7 linked regions of the Xenopus tropicalis genome follow. The protein of the gene in region 3 purifies or fractionates together with the protein of the main gene of each other region. This does not show direct contact. Links are inferred from orthologs where the notes say so. Each region holds a gene or a part of one and is shown on either strand. Other genes may lie near its edges. The genes, in order: smarca5, smarca1, ezh2, arid1a, ddx5, pabpc4 and usp44.

Evidence for each region.
Region 1: the proteins of ezh2 (region 3) and smarca5 purify together in Homo sapiens (affinity purification with mass spectrometry, with the first as the bait; 3 studies listed by BioGRID). This does not show direct contact. The link is inferred for Xenopus tropicalis from reciprocal best matches to the Homo sapiens genes EZH2 and SMARCA5.
Region 2: the proteins of ezh2 (region 3) and smarca1 purify together in Homo sapiens (affinity purification with mass spectrometry, with the first as the bait; 3 studies listed by BioGRID). This does not show direct contact. The link is inferred for Xenopus tropicalis from reciprocal best matches to the Homo sapiens genes EZH2 and SMARCA1.
Region 4: the proteins of ezh2 (region 3) and arid1a purify together in Homo sapiens (affinity purification with mass spectrometry; 3 studies listed by BioGRID, with this or other methods). This does not show direct contact. The link is inferred for Xenopus tropicalis from reciprocal best matches to the Homo sapiens genes EZH2 and ARID1A.
Region 5: the proteins of ezh2 (region 3) and ddx5 purify together in Homo sapiens (affinity purification with mass spectrometry; 4 studies listed by BioGRID, with this or other methods). This does not show direct contact. The link is inferred for Xenopus tropicalis from reciprocal best matches to the Homo sapiens genes EZH2 and DDX5.
Region 6: the proteins of ezh2 (region 3) and pabpc4 purify together in Homo sapiens (affinity purification with mass spectrometry, with the first as the bait; 3 studies listed by BioGRID). This does not show direct contact. The link is inferred for Xenopus tropicalis from reciprocal best matches to the Homo sapiens genes EZH2 and PABPC4.
Region 7: the proteins of ezh2 (region 3) and usp44 purify together in Homo sapiens (affinity purification with western blotting; 3 studies listed by BioGRID, with this or other methods). This does not show direct contact. The link is inferred for Xenopus tropicalis from reciprocal best matches to the Homo sapiens genes EZH2 and USP44.

The regions. Positions count from the first base shown.
Region 1 is NC_030677.2:59,238,729-59,243,318, forward strand, and holds the start of smarca5 (SWI/SNF-related matrix-associated actin-dependent regulator of chromatin subfamily A member 5), read right to left. Parts: upstream 2,976-4,590; 5' UTR 2,827-2,975; coding exon 2,677-2,826; intron 1-2,676. UniProt on the Homo sapiens protein: ATPase that possesses intrinsic ATP-dependent nucleosome-remodeling activity.
Region 2 is NC_030684.2:50,382,814-50,386,293, forward strand, and holds the end of smarca1 (probable global transcription activator SNF2L1), read right to left. Parts: intron 1,837-3,480; coding exon 1,729-1,836; intron 1,203-1,728; coding exon 1,131-1,202; 3' UTR 805-1,130; downstream 1-804.
Region 3 is NC_030682.2:55,155,985-55,159,872, forward strand, and holds part of ezh2 (histone-lysine N-methyltransferase EZH2), read left to right. Parts: intron 1-891; coding exon 892-1,055; intron 1,056-1,812; coding exon 1,813-1,904; intron 1,905-3,888. UniProt on the Homo sapiens protein: Polycomb group (PcG) protein. Catalytic subunit of the PRC2/EED-EZH2 complex, which methylates 'Lys-9' (H3K9me) and 'Lys-27' (H3K27me) of histone H3, leading to transcriptional repression of the affected target gene.
Region 4 is NC_030678.2:77,712,362-77,716,249, reverse strand, and holds part of arid1a (AT-rich interactive domain-containing protein 1A), read right to left. Parts: intron 3,404-3,888; coding exon 2,999-3,403; intron 2,879-2,998; coding exon 2,765-2,878; intron 2,346-2,764; coding exon 2,105-2,345; intron 1,925-2,104; coding exon 1,835-1,924; intron 1,756-1,834; coding exon 1,588-1,755; intron 1-1,587. UniProt on the Homo sapiens protein: Involved in transcriptional activation and repression of select genes by chromatin remodeling (alteration of DNA-nucleosome topology).
Region 5 is NC_030686.2:51,533,000-51,537,395, reverse strand, and holds the start of ddx5 (probable ATP-dependent RNA helicase DDX5), read right to left. Parts: upstream 2,834-4,396; 5' UTR 2,816-2,833; coding exon 2,775-2,815; intron 192-2,774; coding exon 29-191; intron 1-28. UniProt on the Homo sapiens protein: Involved in the alternative regulation of pre-mRNA splicing; its RNA helicase activity is necessary for increasing tau exon 10 inclusion and occurs in a RBM4-dependent manner. Binds to the tau pre-mRNA in the stem-loop region downstream of exon 10.
Region 6 is NC_030678.2:91,019,902-91,024,259, reverse strand, and holds the start of pabpc4 (polyadenylate-binding protein 4), read right to left. Parts: upstream 2,987-4,358; 5' UTR 2,495-2,986; coding exon 2,302-2,494; intron 1,879-2,301; exon of another isoform or gene 1,752-1,878; intron 1-1,751.
Region 7 is NC_030679.2:56,838,937-56,842,824, forward strand, and holds part of usp44 (ubiquitin carboxyl-terminal hydrolase 44), read right to left. Parts: intron 599-3,888; 5' UTR 529-598; coding exon 1-528.

The sequences.
Region 1 (4,590 bases), on a different chromosome or scaffold from region 3:
TATGGCAACTCAGCGAGGCGACCAATATCGCAGAAGGCTGCCGATATCGACTCGCCGATCGGGCGGGTTAAAAGATTTTGATCGGGCGCCATTGAAGGCGCCTGAGTAAAATCTGCCTTCACGGCTGAATTGACAGAAGGAGGTAGAAATCCTATTGTTTCTACTTTTCCATATCTGATGATTCAGCCCTGAATGTCAGGGTGGGTTGGAACGATCTTTCGTGCAACAGAAAGATCAAAAATCGCCACGTGTGTGGTCATCTTAAGGGCTCTGGCACACGGGGAGATTAGTCGCCCGCAACAAATCTCCCTGTTCACGGGCAACTAATCTCCCCGAAATGCCATCCCACTGGCGAAAATGCAAATTACCGGTGGGATGGCATACGTGGCGCCGCGATTTCCCTGAAATAGCGGAAGTTGTCTTGAGAGGAAACTTCCGCGATTTCAGGGAACAAATAACAAATCTGCCCTTTTTATTTCCTTACACAAGGCAAACAGCCAAAGTTTTCCCCACCTCTTATGTAGATGAAATTTCTGTTACAGAAGTTGGAAGGACAGTGCGATGCATTTGAAGAAGCACACAGTCCTCTTAGCTTCTGTTAAAGTTTTTCTTTTAGGGGCAGGAACATTTAATTTTTATCCCCACCAAGGCCTATTTTTACCTGGCTGGCAATTTCTTCCCTACTAGCGATACACTTGAGCTAGCTTGAAGTTAAAAAAAAAAATAATCCGATTGTTTGGCCCTGGGGCCAAACGACCGGATTATGTAGGCAGCAATGGGGCAGTCGGTTCGGGGACCGCATCAACGAGCTGATGCGGCCTCCGATCCGACTGAATCTTTTAACCTGGCCGATCGATATCTGGCCAATTTCAGGCCAGATATCGGTCGGCCAGCCCGCTCGTTTCTGCCCCTACACGGGCAGATAAGCTGCCGAGCCGGTCCAAGGGACCGATATCGGCAGCTTCTATCGGCCCGTGTAAGGGGGCCTTTAGTCTAAATTTAAGAGATATGTAAAAACTGGTAATGTAACTGAATTTGTGACTTTCCACTGTTGAAAATCATGGGATTACGGACTGGTTATAGTGCATAAATTTTAAACGTCTATTCATAAGTCCTTAAATGTCTATTATGTATATATTCTGGTACTTATGTATTTAGATTTGCCCCCTAATAAAGGGGCTAATAGACGTTAAAGGAGACATAGGATAAATGAAAAAATCTCTAATCTTGTAGGCAATTATGAATACTATATGGTGCTGGTTTCACTTTGGTCTTTAATACCACTATCTGTAAAAATGAACCCTTTATCAGAGCTTCCTATAGATTCTCTCGGGTCCCTGCCTGTGTTTCAAATGCAGTGTGGGCATGTTCTAACTTTCCCTGCCAGAAGCACAGTAGGATAGCACACACACCTCTGCACAGATAGGCTTCAGTTCCCTATCAGGTCAGCCTAATTGCTGATTGGCTTCAATCCTACAGTGCAAAGTGCTGCATGGCCTGGGAACGGAGGAAGTGGAACAGATGGGCTGGACTTTTACCCATTTGGATAATAAATGGGTTAAGCCCCCTTAACCTCAGCTATATCACATTTATTTTTTTTCTGGGGAGAACACTGGCAAGAACTATTAAATGACTGGACTGGGAAATGAAATAAACCCTGGTTTATCAGGTGCAAAGAAAGCCAAACAGTCCCCACAGGCCCAATAAACAGGGACTGACTACAAACAGCTGTTCATTGAACAGGGAGAACTGATTGCTTAGAAATACAGTATTCCATCAACTATTTATAATAAGTCAGGCGAATAAAAATAAAGCCAAAAGGCTGAAAAACAGGAACACAAAGATAACTAATTTAGATCAAGGGCAGAAAAGATCTTGCATACAGTTAATAACTTAAATGAGAAAAGTGAGTAGAGTTTATTTGATAAAGTTGGTTAAAACTTGCACCCTTGCATTAACCCATGACAATCGATCAAAGTTTGCTATTATTGTTCTAACTGAAGAAGGATGAAAAAAAGCTCATCTCTGATTGGTTGCTATGGGTTACTGTCCAGATGCAGATTGCTGATAAATGATCAGCAGTAAGTGAACTAGGAACACATAAGAATCTCCATTAGAAAAATTACGTAAGAGGCCACAGATATCGGCACTACTCCTTGTACATGTTCCGTGAGCCGATAGAAAGGCTGGCAGCAGGATGATGGAAATGTAGTATAGCATGTCAGCTAACAAAGAGTTGGAGGCCTGGAGAGCGACCAGCACTAACAGTAGCCACGCCCCGTACTGGGAGGAGCCGCTGGGGCTTTAGAATGACTTTTGGAACAATGAGAAGCCCAATGCTAAGAGAGTGCGAAGCACCACACCTAGCCAATACTTATAATATATATATATATATATATATATAGGAAATGAGAGGTACCGTGAGGCAGAAGCCCGGCTACCGCGCACATGCGCACTCACGGCTGGACATTTCAATGGGACAGAGAGGTCCGCTTTAACTCTACAGGTTCTCACATACGCAAGTGAATGAGCAGATAAGACATATCTAGCTGCTGAAAAACTACAACTCTCAGCGGCCAGGAGATGGTTAAAATAATGACGTTCAAGATAAAGAAGAAGTTTGAGTTCCTTGGTAGGAGCCATAAAGTGCGTGCTGCCTGGGCCGGCTCCTCTTACCTCCATCGCTTCCTCTTTAACTGCGTCTCCGCCCGGCTCTTGTTTCGCCTGATCGCCCGTATCTACTTCCATAGCCTCCTTTGCTTCTCCTTTTTCCTCTTTCGCTACGGTGTCCGGAGCCGGCTGCTGCTCGGTGCCTTCCGCGGACATGATCAGGATCTACTAACACCGTCCGTCCAACGCGGGGCTCACACAACGAGGCAGGGGGTTTAATGAGAAACCCGGAGTAAAGCGCGATCCTTGAATGGATGCGTGTGTAATCCCACACGCTGCTGGCGGGAGCCACTAGGAAGAGAGCGTAGGGGGCGCGTAGGAGAGCGCACTCGCAATGTGCCGGCTTTTTCCCTCTTTGATCGACAGCGCGCGTCACCAGGGAGAGGGGAAAAAAACGCACCAATCCGTTTGAGATCTCGCGAGATCTAAGCTTTACTAGGGAGCCGAGACCAGATCCCGCGAGATTTGGCCCCGCAAGCCTACGCTAGGGTGATGCGAGTGGCCCATATGGCAGAGGCAGCGGCGGCGCGCATAAAAAAAACTATTGTACCCGCGCAAGAGTGGAATAATGGGCGTGTCTACAGATTGAATGGGAGGCGGGAAAAAAGGGGCGGGCTTCTAAATTGCCGGGTTTACGGGGATGTTTCTGCCTAAAATCTCGCGAGAATAGTTTGTTGTCAATGGTTGGGTACAGTGTATGTCGCATTTAGCGGGTTTGTACTCTGCCCTCTTAGGAGTTTGTCATGTAGGTTGAGAATGGGGATTGTTTTCTACAATGTACCTTAAACCAAACATCTACAAATGAAATATTTTTCATTTTCACACCCTAGTAAACGTGAACTTCTAGTCTTTCAAAATAAGGGGTCATTTCAAGTTATTTTAGGAATACCATTAGTATGAGATAGAATAGGCTATACTAAGAAACTAAGGTATTGCCCAGGGGGCTGTTATGAGAAACATTGGGGCTCTATACAGGGCTGATTCTGCCCCTTAATCAGGCTTTCCAGTGCCGCCCTGTGTATGCTATATGAAGTTTGGGAATAGTCAAAGGATAAGTTCACTTTTTAAAAAGGTTAGTTTGCCGATCTGATTCACAGCTTTTCAAAGCTGGATCCTCAAATAAACAACACAGATTGGCGCTGAAAGCTACAAGGGAATAAGAAAAATGAACATTTAGTCCAGGGATCCCCAACCTTTCCTACGCGGGAGCCACAGTCATGTAAAAAGACTTGGGGAGCAACACAAGCACCATAAAAGTTCATGGAGGTGCCAAATAAGGGCCGTGATTGGCTATTAGGGGCCTCTATGCACCCTATCAGCTTACAGGGGGCTTTATTTGGTAGGAAATCTTGTTTTTATTAAACCAAAACTTGCCCCCAAGTCAGGAATTCAACAATAACTCCCTGGTTTGGGGTCACTGAGAGCAACATCCAACATGTTGCCCCCGAGCCACTGGTGGGGATCACTGATCTAGTGTAATATAATCAAAATACTCAAACACCCTTGTGGTCAAACTTTAAAGGAGAGGGAAAGGCAAAGTCACTTGGAGGAGCCAAAATGTTAGGCACCCCCAGTGACTTTAATCTCTTACCTTCTACCCCGGGCTGGTGCCCCTGTACGGAGAGAACAGCACCAGCCCGGGGTAGCAGCGATTCCTCCTTCCGGCTTCGCTCGCGTACACATGCGCAGTAGAGTGAAAAGCCGAACTTTAACAGAGAAGTTGGCTTTTCACTCAAATGCGCATGCGCCGGTCCCGGGAATTTGCCGGCAAAACGAAGCAGGAAGGAGGAAGTGCTCGCTACAGGTACCCCGAGCTGGTGCTGTTTTCTCCTAACGGGCACCAGCCCGGGGTACAAGGTAAGCGATTAAAATCACTTGGGGGTGCCTAACATGTTGGCACCCCCAAGTGACTTAGCCTTT
Region 2 (3,480 bases), on a different chromosome or scaffold from region 3:
AGAAGGTCAGATTTATATGCTATTTCCTTTTACAGGGACCATAAAGTGAGCTAGGCTGTTTCTGAGCTCATGTCAAATACAGGGTCTGATTTATTAAAGATCGGTTAATTCTAGAGGCCTATTCATCAAAATTCATGTTAGTGTCATTTTCATATTTGCAAATAAACTTGCTTACTTATTTAAAAATCTATAGAGTATAGAACTTTGAATTCGTATTTTTCTCATCATTAAAATCATGAAAAGGCTACATAGTTTTTAAGTGATGTATATTGCAAAGTTGTTAAATGATGTTTACTTTTCAAAAAGCTCAAGTTGTGTTTGGGCGGAGTTACCCTTTAAAACACAAACATTAAGCCCCTTAGTCTGTCCCATAGAAATCCACTGAATACAAAAAGTACCTTTTTATATTAAAAATAATTCTATAAATGAAGTGGCTGCATGTCCAGCCACAACTTTTAGTAGTTGCAATCCTTACATGTCAGATATTATTTACAATAATGATAATAAGTTAAAAGAGGAGTTTGTTATATCTAAAAGTATTTCTGATTTCTGGCTAATAGTAAAGAAAGAGATTGAGCTGTTTACATCTGTAAAAGAGCTTTTAGCAATTGTTTAGACAGTGCATGACTCCTAACAATAATAATCAACGTGAAAGTTCTAGAATGTTTAACAGCTCCAGCTAATGTTCTATTTCCACTTCCAGTAACAAAGGCAGAGAGTATTTACAGCACTAACAGTTTATTGAGCCTGGGAATAATAATTAAAATGTAAGTGCTCTTCTCTGTAGAAAGAAACCAACGGTGACACAGGAGAGATTTACTTTTTATTTCAAAGCAGCAGCAGCAGCATACAGTATAAAACATACAAAAGCTAAAACTCTCTGCACTGGTTAAACATGTCACAAAATACAATGCATGTAACTATGGGAAAAGCTGAAAATACTACACATTTTCTAGATACATAAAAGCATAAAATATACAAATTCTGCCAAAACTTGAATGCATTCTGGCTATTCTGTTAACGCACAGAGAGAGCAGCAGAGTCCTTACATGTGCATCATTAACTCATTGCAGGACATTAAATGGCTGTTAGTACCCAACAAATAATAACATACATGGTATTATTTAGCACTAGGATTTTGCTTTCTTGGCATCCTTTTTCCCAGAACTGTCAGGTACGACGTCTGCTTTTCTTTTAGAGGGCTGAAGAATAAAACAAACAAAAAAAAAAAAAGGTAAAAAGAAACTGTAATAATATCTTACAATAAATTTGAAATGCATAAGGAAATCTTTGAAGAACAATAAACATAATTAGAACTAAGCAGAACCAAATCCAAGGACAGAAACACAAATATAAATATGGCTGCAGATATGTAGAAATGTTAATTTACCATTTAGATTCCCCCTCCATGCATCTACTTATATTAAAGTACCTGTTTTTGTTGACATGTCTGTCACGATATGTGAAATCATCACATATTTTGCCTTATCTGTCTTTAAAATATTACTAATATAATATTACTACCACTGCTATAGTTGGTCTCATTGATATGAAAGATACAATAAGTAATAGTGTTTTCAGGGAAAGATAGCAATCCCTAACTAACTGCACGAGGGTTATCAGTGAAACTTTAACATTTAAAATTAACCGGTATGTGCATAAAAGGCAACTTAAAAAAAATAAACAATGCATTTTTCACAACTTAATAACCCTATAGTTAGTTTTTACCTGTGGCTTTGGCTGTCGTTTCTTTTTCTCTGCTCTTTCTTTCTCTTCGATCTCTAGGTTTTCTTTTTCTATCAGCGATATAAGAGTATTGCAGCGTCTTTGCAGCTCCTAATGGCAAGAATAAAACATAAAACAATGTCACGTAGCATGAAACACTTCCAACTCTAATAATTATTTACTGTATGATTTGTCTGCCACATTCCATCCATTAGGTGTCCATTAATATACGAAACAATTTAATATTATTGCCATTACATGCCATTAAACTTGAAGCAATTTGGAATTAATGGCAACACCATGACAACACAGTTTGCAAATTTCATTTTTTCATCCTAACAGAAACATATATATTGTAAACTCCTTTGGGCTTAGGGTATTTAGCTGTGACCTAACAGTAAACCAATGGTAGGCATGTTTTCTTCAAGGCAGCCTTTCATCATAATCACGTACAATCTTCCCCTTACCTTATATTTTAAATGAAGAAGACACTCAGGGGCATTTTGATACATCTGTCCCTAAGATCCCAGGGTGGATTTAAAAGGCTTCAGCCTTATTAACTAGTTTGCTAATAACATGAACAGTAAAATGACTTTAAAAATTGCAACACATAATATTCAGAAACTGGAATACTTGTTAATAGTACCCAATAAAAACCCTACTGGTATGGGCAAGCAGAAGCAAAGTAGGTCTCAATCAAACCCTTACCTCCCGGGACCATGACAGGTGCAGCCTTGAGTCTGCAGCCCTTACCCCCCCCCCCCCCCTTTTTCCCCCACGCCCTTAACCCATTCACCCAAACAACACACTTGGACACTGTAGCTGGGAAAAGAAGACTGCAGTTATTTATTTATTAACAATAAAACTTTACATCAGTTAACATTTGTAACTTTATTAATTTGTACAAAACCGTTTGTATAACAAACATTTACAGTAACCAACATTTACAGTAACGACAATCCTTACTCGCCTCACAGGGACTGGCCCTGCGCCCAAATGAAACGCCTGGTTACTGCCACCTTTTCCCCCAACCTAAACCGAGGCTAACTGCCTTCCGATCAGGACTGCAGGCCAACTGGGCTACACTCTCATTGACAAGTACCCCCCTTAAACTTCCCCCTGGGGGCACGGAGTAAGGTACCCTCTGCCACAGGCTTGGCTGCTTGACTCCTCAAGGACGCCATGACCCGCCAACTAGCTTTACTAGGGACCTCTCATTACCCTCACCCAGTGCCAGGTTAAACAAGTCAGTCCCTACTTCCGACAAATGGACCCCATCCTTCCAATAATAACCGGGTAATTTTCCCTCCAGAACCTTCTCTCCATCCTCTGCCCATCCCTGGCATGCCTCCACACTAACCGCTGCACCATCTCTGACCAGATGGTCACTATGTCCGGAAACATACGCCTTATCCTATCCAACTCCCTCTGAGGAACTAACCCCATATCGTTCCCTCCAGCATGTATTACCAAAATGTCCGGGCGCTTCCCGGGCTTTGCCTTTTGAAGCAGGGGGGACCAGACCCCTGGCCACCGCATGCCCTGAACACCAAACCAATGCACTCCCACCTTGCCTTTGGGAAAGCCCAGCTGCAATCCAGGTTTTTTAACTGTTGCTCTACTTCTGGCCCGACAGATGAATGAATGACCAATCAGCCACACCGTGATCCAGCCACCTGTTCAAGGAAAACCAAACGTAAACACAAATAACACCATCACATATGGTACACGGTATTCCCCTTGTACCAACCAACC
Region 3 (3,888 bases):
TCGCTTACCTTTTTACCTCAGCCTGGTGCTCCTGTTAGGTGAAAACCGCACAAGCCTGGGGTAGCTGTAGCGAGTGTTTCCTTTTCGTCTTTTGAATCCCGGGGCTGGTACATGCGCAGTAAAGTGTTAAAGTTCAGCTTTTCATTCAACCGCACAAGCGTGCGAAGACCGAAGAAGGAAGAGGAGATGCTACCCCTGGCTGGTGCTGTTTTCTTCTCACAGGAGCACCAGCCCGAGGTAAAAGGTAAGCTTAAAGTCACCGGGGTGTGCCTAACATTTTGGCCTTCATCAAACGTTAAGCACCAATGTGCCTTCATCAAACATTAAGCACCATAAACTTTTCTAGTGTCTGTCAAATGATAGCTTATACTGCATTAGAAAAAAAAAAAGTGAGGCTGATATATTGACATGTTTTATTCAAACTGGAAACCTTGACATGAATCACTCATTTCATTCTAGTATTTATTGTAATCACTTTTTGCACTTGAGCTATAATTATCATGAATATAAATGTCAGAGGTAACTCAGCATGAAAAGTAAAAATGTTGTGTTGCTACCAACTGTGGACTCGGCAATTCTCTCCAAACACTCCTTTTATAAATAGGATGATTTTACTTGAAAGTGTATACTTTATGCCCCAGAGCCTTCACCCTGACAAGATAACTGTTATGGAGCAGCAACACCAACAAAAATGCAGTCTGTGTTTGTAGCCTGCAAAGTATGCTTTTTTTAATTATTTATGCATTCTCTGTAATTCAGCATACTAATGGGGAGGTGCAAAGTCTTGGGTTGCTGCGTTTATTTTTTTTTGTTTAGTTTATGTCATATGCTTTATTGTCATTTTCTTACAGACTAGTACTTCAGAAATGAATAAGCCTTTTTATTTTTTAGATACAAGGAATTAACAGAACAACAGCTTCCAGGGGCACTTCCACCAGAGTGCACCCCAAATATAGATGGGCCAAATGCAAAATCTGTGCAACGAGAGCAGAGTCTTCATTCATTCCATACCCTGTTTTGTAGGCGATGTTTTAAGTATGATTGTTTTCTGCACCGTAAGTAGTTTCTATATTAAAGTTTACAATGCAAAATATGCAGTTTAAGGGGCTGATTTATCAAAGTACGCTTGGGTCCGAATACTGTGCATATTTTCTGTGTTTTTTCATTAATTTCCACAACTTTTTTGTACTTTGCGACAATTTGTGTGACAAAATCGTATTTGTCGCAACAAGTACAAAAGTTTTGGAATTCATTCAAGCTTCGGTATCATGACTTTCCTTGGGCCAGGGTGGAGCTGCAGAGTGCCATTGAGTCCTATGGGAGGCACATAGACAGAAGGATCAAAGTCAGAATGTTTTTTGCGCCATTTACGATCGTTCAGATATGAACATATGAATGTCCAAAATTCAGACTTTGATAAATGGGCCCCTAAGTTTGGAGCTATGTAGTGCTAAAACTGTAGACTTCAAATATGACTAAAAAAAAAATTAAGATTTTCAAATAATTTAGAAACATACCAAAAATTGTATTTAGGTTAGCCTAAACATCTACTAGTTTTTTTTATCTAGTTATGTAATTTTTATGTCCGACAAACTTTTGGAGCTCCATTACCTTATGGCTTTTCCATAGTTATCAATATGTCAATTTTTCCATTTTTTTGTACCAAGTTCTTGCCTTTTTTTGTTGGTGGAGATCATGGGGGAATAAATATTGTAAGCACAAACTGATGTAGTTAAGGAAACTGCATGTTGATCAGGGCCCTGTATATGTAAGCCCTTCAGAGTCTAAAAAAATATTGTCTCTGTTTAACAGCATTTCATGCTACTCCTAATACTTACAAACGGAAGAACAATGAAGCAGCAAATGATGGAAAACCTTGTGGACCACACTGCTACCAGCTTTTGGTATGTTGCTTGGAATTCATTTTATATGCATTACTGATGTGCTTATCTAAATCACTGCATTTTAATATATGTAATATGTTGTCTATTACTTCTCAAAGTTTGGCCCCAGGGCTACTGTGCATTGCTGAAGATCCTTTACCAAACATATAAAACAAGCCACTAGCAGTGTCTCTGACCTGGTCACATAGTCTAATAGTAAGGCTTCCAAGCCAGACTGAGTACAGGTTGTGCCTGCCAATTTCATTTTTCCCAAATACTTTCTACTTTACTATAGTGAAGATGTAGGTAACTGAAAAGCTATATCGAATAATATGTTTTTAAAAAATGTTCTTATCTGCATCCTTAATGTCTTGATATTGCTTAGCTGAAGAATTTTGCTTTGTTGTGACGGGGAAAAGAACTTGATAAACAGTTTTAGGGGATTTGTCACTCTTTTCTCTGTCTGCCAATGCAGTTGTTTTTTGCATTCATGCCTTCTTTTCTTTATTTAGATATTTCTTTTTTTGGCCCGTGGCACAATTATGCTGTGAATGGTTTAAAATAGTTACCTCAAACCTAAATAGTCATGACGCTATGTTAAGTGGTACTTTGCCTCAAAACTGTAGTGGTTTCCTGGCTATCTGAAAGACATTTATTTGGCACTACGTTATCTCCTGGGAAATTTGTAGACACAAAGTGTTTTGAGAAAATCTTTTTTCCCAGTGATACACTCACTAGAATGAACAATACAGCTGTATGGAAAGCTTCTTTTCTCTGGAGTAATATAAACAGATGTATGTGTTTTTTGTAGAGTTTCATTCTAGGCTTTGGCTAAAAATATTATTCTCAGAGGGCAATGTAGCTTAATTTTGTCTGTTACTAGTGCAAACTGTTGTGGGTAAATTCATGTTAAAAGATTCCAAAACCTTATTTTGTGAACAATTAATTTTCTTATCACAACGCAATAATTTGCGAAGACAAAAAAAGCAACAAAAAACTCCACCTCAGGCAGGCAGTTACATAGACAGAGCTCACTGTTGAGTTCAAGCACACTCAAAGGTTAAATCATTTAGAAAGAAATACAGTTAAATAGATTTATACTGAGTTTTTATAGCCTGCCCTAAAGCAATTACAGTTAAAGAAAAAAAAAAATGTATTCTCTTGTGAAAAAATAAACTTGCTTTGTCTTGTATTGCATGTACAGTGGCTTGCAAAAGTATTCGGCCCCCTTGAACTTTTCCACATTTTGTCACATTACAGCCACAAACATGAATCAATTTTATTGGAATTCCACGTGAAAGACCAATACAAAGTGGTGTACATGTGAGAAGTGGAACGAAAATCATACATGATTCCAAACATTTTTTACAAATAAATAACTGCAAAGTGGGGTGTGTGTAGTTATTCAGCCCCCTTTGGTCTGAGTGCAGTCAGTTGCCCATAGACATTGCCTGATGAGTGCTAATGACTAAATAGAGTGCACCTGTGTGTAATCTAATGTCAGTACAAATACAGCTGCTCTGTAACGGCCTCAGAGGTTGTCTAAGAGAATATTGGGAGCAACAACACCATGAAGTCCAAAGAACACACCAGACAGGTCAGGGATAAAGTTATTGAGAAATTTAAAGCAGGCTTAGGCTACAAAAAGATTTCCAAAGCCTTGAACATCCCACGGAGCACTGTTCAAGCGATCATTCAGAAATGGAAGGAGTATGGCACAACTGTAAACCTACCAAGACAAGGCCGTCCACCTAAACTCACAGGCCGAACAAGGAGAGCGCTGATCAGAAATGCAGCCAAGAGGCCCATGGTGACTCTGGACGAGCTGCAGAGATCTACAGCTCAGGTGGGGGAATCTGTCCATAGGACAACTATTAGTCGTGCACTGCACAAAGTTGGCCTTTATGGAAGAGTGGCAAGAAGAAAGCCATTGTTAACAGAAAACCATAAGAAGTCCCGTTTGCAGTTTGCCACAAGCCATGTGGGGGACACAGCAAACATGTGG
Region 4 (3,888 bases), on a different chromosome or scaffold from region 3:
CAAATCTACATATAATTTTTTTTTTATACCACACCCCCAACCTACAAGATTTTACTACTTCGCTGTAATGTGAATGTGGTTCATTAAGAATATAACTAGCTGAAAAGGAAAATTGTGACTGAGAAGGGTACAAAACATTAGAAACATAGTTCATATAGCAAAGAGCAAGTGCTCTATATAAAAGGTGCCTATAAAATGGTACCATGGCATATAATCAATTTTAAGCATATACTTACAGAACAATGTGACAAATATATGCACTCCACTGGCTACCTGAACATCCAGTGCACAGCTCAAGTAATAACAGTAACACCCAGATATTAAAGAACATGTAAAGCTTACATTTGCCTACAATGTATATCAGTTGGGCACGTCTCCCCCACCCAAATGGCATCATTTGTACTGCATATATCTCCCCTCTTTTTTCTAGCACCATCACATTTTCCTAAAGCAAATAGCAGCTGTCACCCGGTGGCTATTTTTCCCCTGATACATAATCATATACATTTAAATCTGCAAACAGCATACACACACAGACCCTTATTCAGCATACATTTCATCAAGAATACAGGCTCACACAGGCACAACTGTCTGATTAAAGTTCATTTTTTTTCTCCTGAGCTCCGCTTTACCATTACAGTGCTCAAGCAAAGCAGAAGCAGACAGCTAGAGCTGAGTTTCTATGGGAACCAGCAATGCCATCTCTTCACTGGCTGCTAGACTGGAGGGCGTGTTTTGTAATCTGAGCTTAGAACAACTGAGCATGCCCGCCAGCCAACAGCCAAAGCAAATACCTGAGGGAGGGGGCCGAGTGGGTTACAGGAGGAGAAGGAAATCTAAGTGATTAAGGGGATGTTGCAGCCTTACTATTAACCCCAGTACAACCAGGGTGGCAGATATTGAAAGATTTCAAAGAGGCTGTTCACTGATTACATTTTTGTGTGTGGGGTTTTACATGTCCTTTAAAGGGACAATATACACTTCTTTGTATCATGAGCTCAAATGAATAGGGCTTGTGCTGAAGGTACTTTTTGCCAATTGTTTTAATTAAGAAATATCTACGGTCTGCTAACCCTTAAAGTATGTTTTTTCTTTAAAGATAGACAGAATGTACCCTCAACAAAAGTCCCATTTATTGTGTTACTTTTAAGCAAAGGTTTTTAGGTGTATACCATCCCTTTAAAATGCATATTATTTACATTTGACTAGTTGGTACATCTTAGAAGTCTACTGAGGATGGCAATGTATTTTAGAGCTACAGAGTATCCTGAAAATACGGACCCCCAAAGGTTAGCGGATACTAGAAGTGTAAAGATGCATTATTTAGAAAGGAGTCATTCCTATTCTGCATCTCTCCAGCATGGAAACATTCCTTTCATTTCCTCTACTGTTCTTTATTTTGACTTCCAAACTGTTGCTTAGTTCTTTTGGTAACTAAGCCCTAGTGAGCAGTTAAAATTAAAGGCTTGAGAGAAAGAGGAAAAAGGGGGGGAATCTATGTTAAGAAAAAAAAAAAAAACGAGAAGAATATTAAGAAAACCACAGACACTAGTGGGGACTAAGCAGCTACTAAGGCAAAACACTAACCTTGAGGTCCATACTGTCCTCCCTGAGGACCATAGCTTCCCATGGAATTTTGTTGATAGGGTCCCATCCCAGAATGCATTTGTGCCGCTGTTGACTGGCGGGGAGAAAGTGCAGGACCAGGCTGAGGGGATCCGTATTGAGGTATCTGTGCATTCCTCTGCATGTATCCTGTTGCAGAAGAAAAAATGGTTATAAATGCAGTGTTGCACAGCTCAGTCTTTTCTGTCCATTATAGACCTTCACAAACCTCGCTCTTGTCCAAGGCTAGCCTGGTTCATCGTAGGGTGGATCAGGCCATCAGACTGCCCACTAGGGGGCCGTGGGGGCATCTGAGTTCCTGAAGAGGTAAAATTAACAGTAAAGTTTTATGTACAATTCCATAAAAAGCATAATGACACTTATCAATTTATAACCAGATAATTCACATACTTATAATCATTTATTAATCCTCACTTTAACTGTGCTTCTTCACCCCCCCCCCCGCCCCACCCCCAGTTTAGGACATCCCTGCACTCACCAGGGACAGCAGTTGGAGAGAGGGGTCCAGAGCGAGATGGTGCCACACTTGCTGGGGAACCTACAGGAGAAGGGGATGGACCCCTAATGCCAGGGAGGTGTGGGGAAGTATGCGGTGAGAAAGGAGACTGGGCAGGATTGCTCTGCTCGCCTTGGCTGCTGGAGATCCCAGATGTGCTGACTCCTGGACTCAGAGCTCCTTCTGCACCCATTGGGAGATCATCAATGGAACCAGAAAGATCCTAGAACAAAAAAAAGTGTTAAAATTACAAATAATGCAACACAAATGAATTAAATTAACAATAAAAATAAAGTTCAATCTAAAAATGTATAATTTTTCTTTGAGTTCTATTCTATTAATAAAGCAGATTACAAACTAGAAATACTGTATTAAGACCTTCAGTTGAGCTCAATTTAATTACAGACTGAAGGATAACTGGTAAAGAGATGAGAAAATATGCACCTACAAATGAAATGTATTTTGCTTTAGACAGTGCTGAGAGTTTTGAAGTTGATTTTAAATTAGTTCTGTAACTCTGAAATTTGAATATAAGGTCTCATATGCAATTTAAAACATTAGAATTATATTGATAACGTGTAGATAATCAATTTTCACTAAAATTGCCAACAAGAATGAAATTTACACAAGAACTTTACTTACAGGTAGACTAGAAGGCCGTGGTTGCATTCCCATACTCAAGTCATCCTGGCCTTTGCTTGAGCCCAGAGAAGGTGTGGATGATGCTTGTGATGTGAAGGAATCCTGAGAGAGCTCCTGAGAGAAACATTAAATGTGCTTAAAGTACAAGAAATGTCTGGAGGACAAATACAAGGTGTGGAAGGCAGTACTCATTTACAAGAACAGATAATATTGTTCTACAGCTCTTAGTCTTACCTGTGGTGGAGGAAACCGCTGTTGAGAGTATGTTCCCGATTGTTGTGCTCCTGTCGAGGGATAAGATGAAACCTGCTGCTGTGTAGAGGTGTACTGGCCAGTTTGTTGGGTATATGGTGACTGGCTCTGTGAGCTGGTGGGGGCACCCTGCTGCTGAGTGTACGGTGAAGGGGATGGGGACTGCTGTTGAGTAAATGTGGGCTGTCCCGATTGAGTAGGGGTTGGCTGGGAGGATGGAGCTTGTTGCTGCGAATAAGACTGAGGACCTGATTGCTGCTGGGAATATTGGGTTTGTGGGGGTGTTGTCTGTGGTTGCTGGGGAGGGTGGAGGCTCTGCTGGTTGTAGTAAGGAGACTGGCTCTGTTGAGAGTAGGACCCAGGACCCTGCTGAGTATATGGAGACATCTGTGGGAAAAATAGGAGCAGGCAAAGGTAGTTTAACAAGAATAGCATTTTTGTTTTTTACCGCTTGAAATCACAGAATAAATGGGGGCTATGTCATAAAGGGTTTGAAAAGTGGGTACAATCAAATATATCACATTTTATATTGCAGTACAACTCCTTTTATAAACAATTAAGGTCCCCATACACGCAGAGATCCGCTCGCTTGGCGATCTCTGCACCCGATATCCCCACCTACGGGTCTACGGGTGGGCACTATCGGGGAGCGTGTAGTTAAAAAAATAAATAATTCGATCGTTGGGCCCTGGGGCCGATGCGGTCCCCGATCCGACTGAATTTTCTAACCTGGCCGATCGAGATCTGGCCAATTTCAGGCCAGATATCGGTCAGCCAGGCCCCTCGTTTCTGCCCCTACACAGGCAGTTAAGCTGCCGAATCAGTCCAAGGGACCGACATCGGCAGCTACAATCTGCCCGTGCATGGGGACC
Region 5 (4,396 bases), on a different chromosome or scaffold from region 3:
GTTCATCCCAATCAGGCAGCAAACTCACCGGTGTCCGTCTCACAACATCTGGATGTTCTTGATAGAAATTCTTCTCAAATTTGGGCAGTTCATCCAGGTTCCATTTCTTCTTCATAAGCCGCTCCCCAGGGTTTCCATATTTGCCAGATGTACCACCTCGGTTTCCCCCAAAGCGAGGACCACCTCCAAATCTGAATATAAGACAAAAGGGTCAATGCAAACAATAAGAACCAACTGGGCGACAAAGCAGACTCCTGGCTTGGTACTGCCCTACTGACAATGGCCATGCAGAGCAGGACAATGCTCTCCGATATGCAAGGGGCCATTCATATGCAGTCACTAAGAATACACAGGAAGCTACAAACTACTCTGCTTTAGGGGGAGATCCCACCATTGGCAAAGAGAAGCCTGGGCTCCAAAGCCAACTCTCAGACAGCCCCAGAGTAAAGTTGGCCATACACACACCAACCTTGTTTATATTCGGTGCGTGTATGGCAAGATCGCAGGAGGCTCCATTAAAGACACCTGAGCAAAATCTATTTTCACGGCTGAATCTGCAGAAATCCTATTGTTTCTACCTCTATCGGACGATTCAGCCCTGAACGTCAGTGGAGGGTTGGAACGATCTTTCGTGCGACCACGTGTGGCCAGCTTTAGAGCAGAGACAGCACACACTGATCAGATGCAACACATATCTGGCAGGCAGTATATTTAACAGAGGTGCGGCCCTCAGCTATTCCATGAGCAGGCACAACAAATGGGCACTGCCAGAAAAAAGCATTTATTTTTAGTGCAGCCAATGCCAGTCCTGGTCCTTTACAGGATTCCATCCTGGCACCTCACTAGGCCCATAATCAGACCCAGAAAAGCCATCAGGAAAATGATAATTTGTTTTTAAGTTAGAAGCATCACCTTCCTTCCCATTACTGCGCAGAACCCCAGGGGAGAGAGGCCTATGCAAAATGGCCACTGAACTGTGCTGGGTATATGCCAAGTAGGTTCCCTGAGGGCATGCCGTGCCAGTGTTACATAAACCGACAGAGGGAGGTGCCAAGTGGTTGCCTAATCAGCAGTGCAAGGAGCAGTTGCACCCAGACTGCAGGTACTGCTAGGTGAGAGCTCTGCCCCAGCATGGGGCAACTGTAGGAGAGTCTATAAACCCAGCAGGGATATTCTGCAAGTACACCTTGTTCCTGGTTACAGGCAGACTGATCATACCCAGGGGACACTACACAGATATGCCAGCAGCGTGCCACACAATAGGGCAGGTACTATGGGAATATACCCAGGCAGACAGATGCCACACAATAGGGCAGGTACTATGGGAATATACCCAGGCAGACAGATGCCACACAATAGGACAGGTACTATGGGAATATACCCAGGCAGACAGATGCCACACAATAGGGCAGGTACTATGGGAATATACCCAGGCAGACAGATGCCACACAATAGGACAGGTACTATGGGAATATACCCAGGCAGACAGATGCCACACAATAGGACAGGTACTATGGGAATATACCCAGGCAGACAGATGCCACACAATAGGGCAGGTACTATGGGAATATACCCAGGCAGACAGATGCCACACAATAGGGCAGGTACTATGGGAATATACCCAGGCAGACAGATGCCACACAATAGGGCAGGTACTATGGGAATATACCCAGGCAGACAGATGCCACACAATAGGACAGGTACTATGGGAATATACCCAGGCAGACAGATGCCACACAATAGGGCAGGTACTATGGGAATATACCCAGGCAGACAGATGCCACACAATAGGGCAGTTGCTATGGGAATATACCCAGGCAGACAGAGGCCACACAATAGGGCAGGTACTATGGGAATATACCCAGGCAGACAGATGCCACACAATAGGGCAGTTGCTATGGGAATATACCCAGGCAGACAGAGGCCACACAATAGGGCAGGTGCTATGGGAATATACCCAGGCAGACAGAGGCCACACAATAGGGCAGGTACTATGGGAGCAGTACCAAAGGAATATACCCAGGCAGATAGCACAAGAAGGTGCAACACAATAGGATAGTTGCTATGGGAATATACCCAGGCAGATAGAGATGCCACACAATAGGGCAGTTGCTATGGGGGAAGTACCAGGGGAATACACCCGGGTAGATAAACAGCTGCCAGGATAAATAGCGACAAAGGAAGATAAAAGAATAAAGCGGCAGGGAGAGGGGAGTGAGGCGGCCCCGGGGAGAGGGGAGTGAGGCGGCCCCGGGGGAGAGGGGAGTGAGGCGGCCCCGGGGGAGAGGGGAGTGAGGCGGCCCGGGGGAGAGGGGAGTGAGGCGGCCCCGGGGAGAGGGGAGTGAGGCGGCCCCGGGGAGAGGGGAGTGAGGCGGCCGGGGAGAGGGGAGTGAGGCGGCCGGGGAGAGGGGAGTGAGGCGGCGGGGAGGCGGCAGGGAGTGAGGGCAGTACAAGTACGGAGGGCAGTACAAGCGCCAGACAAGGCAATAGAAGGAGAGCCCTTCCCCCCCCCGCCGCCATTTTGTGCAGAGACAAAGAGCCGCAACTGGTGCCTCCGCCATCTTGTCTCGCCGAGCCCCGCCTCCCGGGAGCCGAACAATACAATCCATCGCTCGGAAGCCCCGTTACTCATGGGCCCCCCACACACACACATCCCATAATGCCTACCTACCGTACCAGCCGCCATCGGGCGGAAACATTAAGCCCAAACAAACTCCCCACTGGCCTCTGCCAGAAGCTGCCGGCACCTCACGGGGAGACCCCCGAGTACGTACCCCCTGTCCCGGGCGCGGTCCCTGTCGTTGAATCCGGGCATGGCGTTACACAAAGGGCGTTCCGGGAGCGGCTGTACAGACGGGAGGGCTCGGCAGGAAGGGAAGTAACACGCAGCGCGCACACACCTTATATAAGGCCGGCCGGCAACTGACGTCACCATATTCCTCCGCGGGGCGGGGCCTTGACCTACCGCCGCCATATTGCTTCAGGGAAACCTGTCCAACAAGTAGAAAAACCGACCAGCCGCTCGGTGTTAACCTTTTTCCTGGCTTCCGCCCCAACGATATTGCAAACTGAACCGTGAGCGTGGGGCAGCGGCTGCTCCCGCTTTTGTAGCGGGATATCGACCACGTACTGGTAGCGGGACACCGGCCCAAAGTAAAGATGGCGGCAGAGACTAAGCGATGTGACCATGTGACCGGCAATGCGCCTTTTCCCGGAATTTTATTATCTGTGGCTCATGTTAGTCAGTGTGTGTTGCGTGGGATGAGGCAAGGCCAGTAAGGCTGTGTTCCCTTATTAGCCCCGCCAGGCACACCCAATGGGTACAACTATATTGCCTCATACATATACGGGCTACATACAGTCCCCATTAGTAAGTGCTTGAGCCTTCCCGCTCAAGGTTTTGTTCCTACTGCTGAGGAGCCCTGCCAATTCCTCCCCACTGTGTCCCTGCCACTTCCTCCCCACTGTGTCCCTGCCACTTCCTCCCCACTGTGTCCCTGCCACTTCCTCCCCACTGTGTCCCTGCCACTTCCTCCCCACTGTGTCCCTGCCAATTCCTCCCCACTGTGTCCCTGCCACTTCCTCCCCACTGTGCCCCTGCCACTTCCTCCCCACTGTGCCCCTGCCACTTCCTCCCCACTGTGTCCCTGCCACTTCCTCCCCACTGTGTCCCTGCCACTTCCTCCCCACTGCCTGCCCTCCACTTCTCCCCACTGTGCCCTGCCAATTCCTCCCCACTGTGTCCCTGCCACTTCCTCCCCACTGTGTCCTGCCAATTCCTCCCCACTGTGCCCTGCCAATTCCTCCCCACTGTGTCCCTGCCAATTCCTCCCCACTGTGTCCCTGCACTTCCTCCCCACTGTGTCCCCTGCCACTTCCTCCCCCACTGTGCCCCTGCCAATCTCTCCCCACTGTGTCCCTGCCACTTCTCCCACTGTGCCCCTGCCAATTCCTCCCCACTGTGTCCCTGCCAATTCCCCTCCCCACTGTGTCCCTGCCAATTCTTCCCACTCTGTCCCTGCCAATTCCTCCCCACTGTGTCCCTGCAAATTCCCCCCACTGTGTCCCTGCCAATTCCTTCCCCACTCTGTCCCTGCCAATTCCTCCCCACTGTGTCCCTGCCACTTCCTCCCCACTGTGTCCCTGCACTTCCTCCCCACTGTGTCCCTGCCACTTCCTCCCCCACTGTGTCCCTGCCAATTCTCCCCCACTGTGTCCCTGCCACTTCCTCCCCACTGTGTCCCTGCAATTCCTCCCCACTGTGTCCCTGCCACTTCCTCCCCACTGTGTCCCTGCCAATTCCTCCCCCACTGTGTCCCTGCCAATTCCTCCCACTGTGTCCCTGCCATTCCTCCCCACTGTGTCCTGCCAATTCCTCCCCACTGTGTCCCTGCCA
Region 6 (4,358 bases), on a different chromosome or scaffold from region 3:
TTCCGAAAACCAAAGCAATGTGAAGGCCTTTCCACCGGCGACTCCTTTTGTTGCCAGTAGAAAGGCATTTTGGAGTGGTTAGTTGCCCACGCTAGCAGAGATCTATCGCAGGAGACTAAAGGCGGCCATACAGGGGCCGATTGTAGCTGCCGATATCGGTCCCTTGAACCGATTCGGCATCTTATCACCCCGTGTAGGGGCAGAAACGACGGCCATACCTGACCGATATCTGGACTGAATTAGAGCAGATATCAATCGGGCAGGTTAAAAGACTCAGTCAGATCGGGGACCGCATCGGCTCGTTGATGCGGTCCCCGAACTGACTGCGCCATTGCTGCCGTTATAATTTGATCGAATTAGCCTACATTTTCCCCGATATTGCCCACCCGTAGGTGGGGATATCGGGACAAGATCCGCTCACTTGGCGACCTCGCCAAGCGAGCGGATCTTAACGTGTATGGGCACCTTAACTTGTCCGTGGGGCATCAGCCTAATACATATTCATTTATAGTAAAGGATAGTCATCAAAATACTTTTATATAAATGTAAAAAGACTGTAGTATTAGATGGGAATGGATAAAGTTACTTTGCATTTATAAAAACAAAATTATAGACCTTGCGGTACTGAACTGCACATGATAGATAATTTATGTGACTATTACTACCTCCATTATCATATGCAACATACTATTATTGGTACAGGTATGGGACCGGTTATCCAGAATGCTCGGGACCTGTGGTTTTCCAGATAAGGGATCTTTCTGTAATTTGGATCTCCATAACTTAAATCTGCTAAACATCATTTAAATATTGAATAAACCCAATAGGCTTGTTTTGCCTCCAATAAGAACTAATTGTATCTTAGTTGTGATCAAGTACAAGGTACTGTTTTCTTATTACAGAGAAAAAGGAAATAATTTATAAAAATTATAATTATTTGCTTATAATGGAGTCTATAGGCAATGGCCTTTGGGAAATTTCCTGGATAATGGGTTTCCGGATAAGGGATCCCATACCTATATATGCAATGCCCTTATTGCTAATCCTAACACTGCTGTAACCTGCCATACCGTTTAACACCTTTAAAGATACATTTTTTCTGAAACAAACAATAGTGAATATCTTAAATACCCTTTTTGGTTATTTCTTGATTCATATACACTTCTAAATATAGCTAGACAATTTTCCAATAATGGGGATATAAAGTCAAAACCTTGACTTAGGGTTTATATATAGCCCTATGATAGGAAAGCACTATGAGAGATGTTGTTCTAATAAAAAAAAAAAAAAAAATCAGATGGCAAAGCAGTTAAAACAGCTAACTGGAGCTCTGTACTCCTCAGTGTCTGCAGCTGAATGAGGAGTGGGTGTGTTTCACGCTCTACTCATGTTTTACTTCCTTATCTGTGACTGACTTGCTCTTATCAGCAACTGGCCAATGACAACCCAGTAAACAAGCTCCTGTACTTTTTTAAAGTCTAGTATAGTACAGTCCCTGCTTCTGTTTTATTTTTTCAAGTCTAGTACAGAACAGTCCTCTACTTTTTTCACATCAGGACAACCACTGGCACAATAGGTTTCCAGGAGCTGTGATCAGAACTCAATTCAGGGGAATAGCATAAGATACAAAATACAAAGGCTTCTAATTAAAAAACGGTAGAGAATTTTTGACGGGGTTATATTACAAGATTATTCCATTTGCAATAATAATAATAATAATAATGAAAAATAATAATATGGCATGGGCTTACATTATATCATTTAATGTTGTGTTTTGCAGCTCTCTGGTTTTGGAGTTTAGAGGTGGCTGTAAAAAGGGTGCTGTACATGGAAGGATAAATCACTGGGATGCAATGAACCAAAAGGGGCACATCTGACCTGAAGAACAAATAGGACATTGCATCTGAGAACACATTACTAACTGATGAGTTTTGTAAGTGTAAATACATCCTTAATTATAGCCTATGAATAACATTATGTGAGATGTTTGCAATGTATCAGATTGATTAAGACAAACGAATGTATCAAAGTTAAAAAAGGTTGAGTGGGACCAAATACACTTGCTAGAAACCTAGACTTTGGAGTAACCACCTTTTATATAAATTCAGAATAAAATATTTAAAAAGAACACAAAAAGTCCAACTGCAAAGGGACCATGAAAGCATTCAAAAACAACAACACAAAAACACCAACTGCAAAGTGACCATGAAAGCATTCAAAAAAACAACACAAAAAGACCAACTGCAAAGTGACCATGAAAGCAGACATCCATCCTGTCAAAAAGCAGATTTCCATACTCACCATCGGCAGGCTGTTGGAAGTTGACATAGGCATAGCCCAGAGAGCGGCGGGTAATCATGTCCCTGCACACACGGATGGACAAGACTGGTCCCGCAGGGCTGAACTTCTCATAGAGCATGGCCTCGGTAACATCGGGGTGCAAATCCCCCACATAAAGGGACGCCATGGGGTAACTGCTAGCAGCTGTGTGCATCACCCAGCCAGGGGGCAGCGACCAACTACCGGACGGCTAAATTGAATATGATCTCCACAGGAGATGTAATAAATATTAAGGCTTCGGTAAGTCAGGGAAGTGCTTGCTTTGACTTGCCTATACACTCCAGCAACTGAGATGTAGAGGCGCAGGAGCTGGGCTGGCACCGATCGTAGTGGATGTTTAAAAGCTTGCTGTGGTATCTGCGGGGGGCTAATGTATGTTGCTGGCCAAGATTCCTATCAGGTGTTGCGAATGCCGCCTTATGGTAACAGGAGTAGACAGGAGACGCTAAATAACTGGCCTAATAAAGTGCAAGAACAGCGGTGCGTCTGCGGTATCAATGTACCTAAATATGCAACACGAATGAATCAGGGCGGGTTAAGAGCGTATGTTTATAAAGACAATTCACAGGCGCAACCCAAATATTTATGTTTCAGTGCACGATCGGTTTGCCCTGTTACTCGATCACCATCAGGCAGCAAACTCTAGCCAGCTCCCCGCACCACAGCGAGGACAAAAGAGACCGGTTGTCACTTGCTGCGCAGCTTTTATATCCGGGTCGCGCCACCACTAACCCTGAGCTTGAGCGCACAGCGCCCTCTATGGACCTCCAGCCGTACAACGTGCCACCGAACGTCTACTAACCCGGCAGCCATCTTAAGTGTGGCAGTCTGTGAGCATGCAAAGTGTAGGACATAGGACGCAATTTTTTTTTAAAGAAAATCTGGCTCTGCCGCTCTTTTCAGCTACTCTTTAGGGAAATGTGATCCGAGTGACTGTACAATAAGCCGGTTCATTGGATAACTAGAGGTCAAGTGGCTATAAACATTTAAAATATATACGAAAGCACAGCTGTATTGGTCCTTCAGCCAAAAATATTTACGTCTATAAAAAGTTTCCTGAAATAGCTTTTTCCACAGAGAAAGAAAATGTAATTCTTAGCAACTCATGTACATTAATCAAAATACTGATTTTAGCTGACATGGCCTCTGGTGGTTAAAATGCTCTGTATGCCACTGCCCTAATAACTAAGATTGCTAGTATAAGCAATGCAGATATATTTGTTTTAGGATAACAATTGCAGGCAGTTTCAATTTACAACAACTTATATAATTATTAGCTTTCCAATGAAAGGCCTTCAGTTGGCATCCTAAAACAAAATGTTTGGCATCCTCCCCCAAGTATCAATAAAGAGCTATTGTGGCTTTTGGCACTTTGGAACTATTGACAGTGGCCAGGCCTGACATGGGATTCAAAACAGGCCCCTAGCATTCCAAGTACACAGAGCCCAAACAGCCCCCTTCAGCCCAACAGTGACTGTCTGTCGCTGTTTTACAGTAACCCCTCTGGCATTTGCCAGAATCCACAGATGCCCAGGCCCATGCACTGGCTACATAATTAGATGATGATGAGGGGGGGGGGGGGGTATGATTGACAGCTGGGATTTTAAAATGCTTTTATAATGGGTATGGATGTGTTATTAAAAAATAGAATTTGTGTTTCATGTGTAAGCTTATAGTAAATTAGCCCTTTAATTACCACAAGCTACACCGTATTTTACCCAGGATGAGACTGTATCCCATAGGGGTGAGCCCTCGCTTTGTATGGAGGCCAGGTGGATATGTGTTGTATTTCTCAATAAATGGGCGCCAGTGGTTCTTAACATTGAAACCATGAACTGTTTATTTACACAGCCACTTAGGAGTAATTACAGAATAGGCAGGCAGTAGCATTTCACAGCATAGGCAGTACTTACAAGAATATGTCACACTGACCCTTTAGCTGCAGGGCACAATGGGTTAACTCCCAGCTTTCAGGTATATGCTTCCAGTGGAACCTGGGTGATCACTATCTAACCCTA
Region 7 (3,888 bases), on a different chromosome or scaffold from region 3:
TTCCTCTTCTAGCCTTTGCTTGCCTTTTGGAGTCAAAGCAAACCATGACCTAAAAACCTTCCCTAAGAGAGCATGCCTCCGATGCCACAATGCAGTGAATGCACGGTCTTCATTTTGAAGAAAGGCTTGTGCACCTTCATGTGAAATGAATGAATCATCTGCAGTTACCATAGACCGCAAAGTCCGACCACTACGTGTTGTACAGTCATAGTTCTGACTTTTGATAGCACTTAACGTGCTTCGTAAAAGTTTAAGGTCACCAGTGGTGTTGTCATTGAGAACATAATCATCACAGAGGTAACAAAAAACGTAAAGTTCATTAACCTCCAAAGCCAAAGGATGCTTACTGTCCTGAAAGTGTCGCAGTGCATGCTCTTCAATGTATCGACCACACGCAACATGTGAACAGCTTAGGCAAGCCCACACGGATTCGGTAGTGTTGCAATCCACACAGTGCCACTTTTGAGGGTTCAAAATTGAATGATCTTGGGCGAGACGCAATCGGCCAACATGTTTACATTTATCCATTTTCAGTTTTCAGATTCAGGTGTCAGCTAAGCTGCAGTTGATCTGTTGCATTTTGCACATACATTCTGACCTGCAAAATACACCAAGAAGTCATGATTATTAAACCTGTATGTAACTTCTTGAGTAAAACTCTCTAACCTTAGTTATGTATATCTCTAGAAATATTTGTAGACACCTATAACAATACTTATAATAAAACAGATGAGTCCTTAGTGTTACCATGTTAAGTAAAGCATTAGTGAGTAAAAGACAGAGAATCCTGGTGTGGGATTTTAATAACACTAAGCTAAATAAAGAACTGTGAGGCCAGCGACAGCATGCATATTAGTTTAAATAAAGGATAGTAAATGCCAAGTGTGTTTACACATACCTCAAGAAAAACTAGCATTTTTATAGTGTTTTTAACAGGAACAAAACTGTGTGTGGTATTATGGAAACTACCCTGTCAACAAAATAATTCCAGATAATGTTCTGCAAACCGCACTGGCACACTAGTTCATAGAAAGACAACCCCTGTATGCTGATCTTTGCCTCCTCAGAAGAGTTCCACTGGCACCAGTTTAAATATATGTCAAGTCTTTAAAATTTATTAGTGGTATATTAATAAAGAAATTTTCAATTAAGTCACATCAGGTATCACATATCACACAAACTAAATTTTACCCAAACCTAACAAATACAGAGAGAACACTTTCTATAAAGACATAGACTAGTTAAACATTAAAGGGCAAATTATTGGACAATACAGATTATATGTACAGGCTGTATGGTTGCTTGTAGGACAGCTAAGATCATAAACTACTTTTGTACAACAGTTTCCAGCATCCTGCTGGAAGGCTGCAGTTTACCTTTATCTTTTTTGTAGAGGATGCCAAGAACTCCTAATTATATATTTTGATTCCAAAGCAGTTACCTTGGAATTTCATGACCTGCTTCTTTATGAGGTGAAGGGGAATGAGATCACTCAGTCCACAAACAAACTATTATTACAAATAAAAACTGAGGTGCTTATAGTAGTGGATACATTATCCAAGCCACAGTAGAGTGATGACACAAGCGTAGGAGCAGATTCTTGGCATACTTTTATCTGCAGGCCAAGACCCTGCCTGATAAGGCATAAGTCTTACGGGAATTTGACAGCAACTTATCATGCAGCAACTAAATTGATGTCACTTAAATACTATAAGGGCTCTGGCACACAGGAAGAATAGTCGCCCGCGACAAATTCTTGTCACGGGCGACTAATCTCCCCGAACTACCATCCCACCAGCGAAAATGTAAGTCGCCGGTGGGATCACCGGCGACTTACATTTTCGCCGGTGGGATGGGAATTCGGGGAGATTAGTTGCCGCAAACAGGGAGGTTTGTCGCGGGTGACTAATCTCCCCGTGTGCCAGAGCCCTAACTGTGTTTTATCTTCAAATAAGATTCAGTTTTGGGTCATGCAAGCTAAACGGAATGTAAATGAGTACTGGTACAATGTGAGACTAGACAAGCCCTATGCATGAACCAAATTCTCCTATGTGGGCTTATCTAAAATAGCAAACTTACTCATTTCAGCAGTAAGCTAAACTGGTGCTGGGAAGTGTACAGGTCACAAAGGTTCCTAGAGGCACAAATTCTTGTGCTGATTTTTAATCTCAACTGCTTTTACTCAGCAGAACAAGAATTTATTACAGTTAACCTATAATCTGCTCTTGATAAAAATAAGGAAATCAGCAGGAGTAGCTGAAACGTCACAAATAAAAGATGACTGATCACCGTTGTGTGCATTAAATTGCATTATATATGCATATGCTTTACCTTTGCTAAGTACTGTATAAAGGGCCACCATGATGCAACTTGCCCATTCATTAGGTAAGAATGCAATCCAACTCAAACTAAACACTTTAGTCTAAAGGATGTATAAAACACATTTAATTGGATAGAATACATGGTACCAGTGGCTGTTCTAAAGGTGAAAACTGACAGAATTGGTGTATAGTTAACATTCTAAAAAGTAGACAAAAACTGTCATCACTGCCTCGAGTACAAACCAAATAAAAGCTTAAGAACAGCACACAGTATTGTTATATCAGTGTAAATTGCTGTAAATCTGTGCAATTACTATCAGTGCTTCTGTGTTCGCCCCACTTTGTAAATTACTAGGGTAGGTGAAACACCGCTATTAAAGGGTCGTGATAACCTAGCATTTCCTGCTGAACTGTACGTAGCACAGAAAAACTGGCCTTGTTATTTACACAAACCTAAGAAGCAATCCCTTCTCTGAAAAATTAGATGTACAGTCTGGTTTGGCTGTCCATGCTCCTAAAAGGCATGATACCAGAAGCGCAAGGGAGATTTGTCACGGGCGACTAGTCTTCCCGTGTGCCAGAGCCCTTACTCTCACTTTTTTCAAATGGATTAAACCAGGGATCCCCAACCTTCTTTACTCGTAAACCACACTCGGGTGTAAAAAGTGTTGGTGAGCCACACAAGCATGAAAAAAGTTTTTTAGGGTGCCAAAAAAGGGCTGTGATTGGCTATTTGGTAGCCCCATGGACTGCTGTCCTGCAGGAAGCTCTGTTTGGAGTAAAACTGCTTCCAAAACTTGCCTCCAAGCCAGAAATGTAAAAATGGGCACCTGCTCTTAGGCAACATGTTGCTCATGAGTCACTGGTTGGGGATCACTGAATCAAACAGGAGGGTACGAGATAAACAAATCTTGTGGTCAGAAAGCCTGAGAGGCGGCGCGATTTCGGGAAATCGCCGAAAAAGACATTTGCGCTAAATCGCGCCGCCGCGTCTGCCATCCCGCCGGCGACTTACATGTTCGCCGGTGGGATGGCAGGGGGAAGGCAACTCGGGGAGATTAGTCGCCCGCGAGCAGGGAGTTTTGCCGCGGGCGACTAATCTCCCCGTGTACCAGAGCCCTAAAGGTCCCCATACACGAGCAGATCCGCCCGCTAAACTAAGACCTATGGCACAACAGGGACAAGGTGGACTCCACTGAACTGAATGACAGGCCAAGCAGCTATTATTATTTATTATTAACATTTATTTATAAAGCGCCAACATATTCCGCAGCGCTGTACAATAAGTGGGTTTCATACATTGGACATACAGAGTAACATATAAAGCAATCAATAATCGATACAAGAGGTGAAGAAGGCCCTGCCCAAAAGAGCTTACAATCTACAAGGAGAAAGGGTTGACACACAAGGTGTGACCTGGAACTTCTGTGCCATATGCAAAATGTCTGCGGTAAACATGCCCAGTGTGTTTGTATGCATTATAAGCAAATTAGTATTACTATGCTAAGGGAAATCAAGTAATGCCTAGTAAAAAGCCTTTGCATTGGGTAATTGCTAAAAATTATTT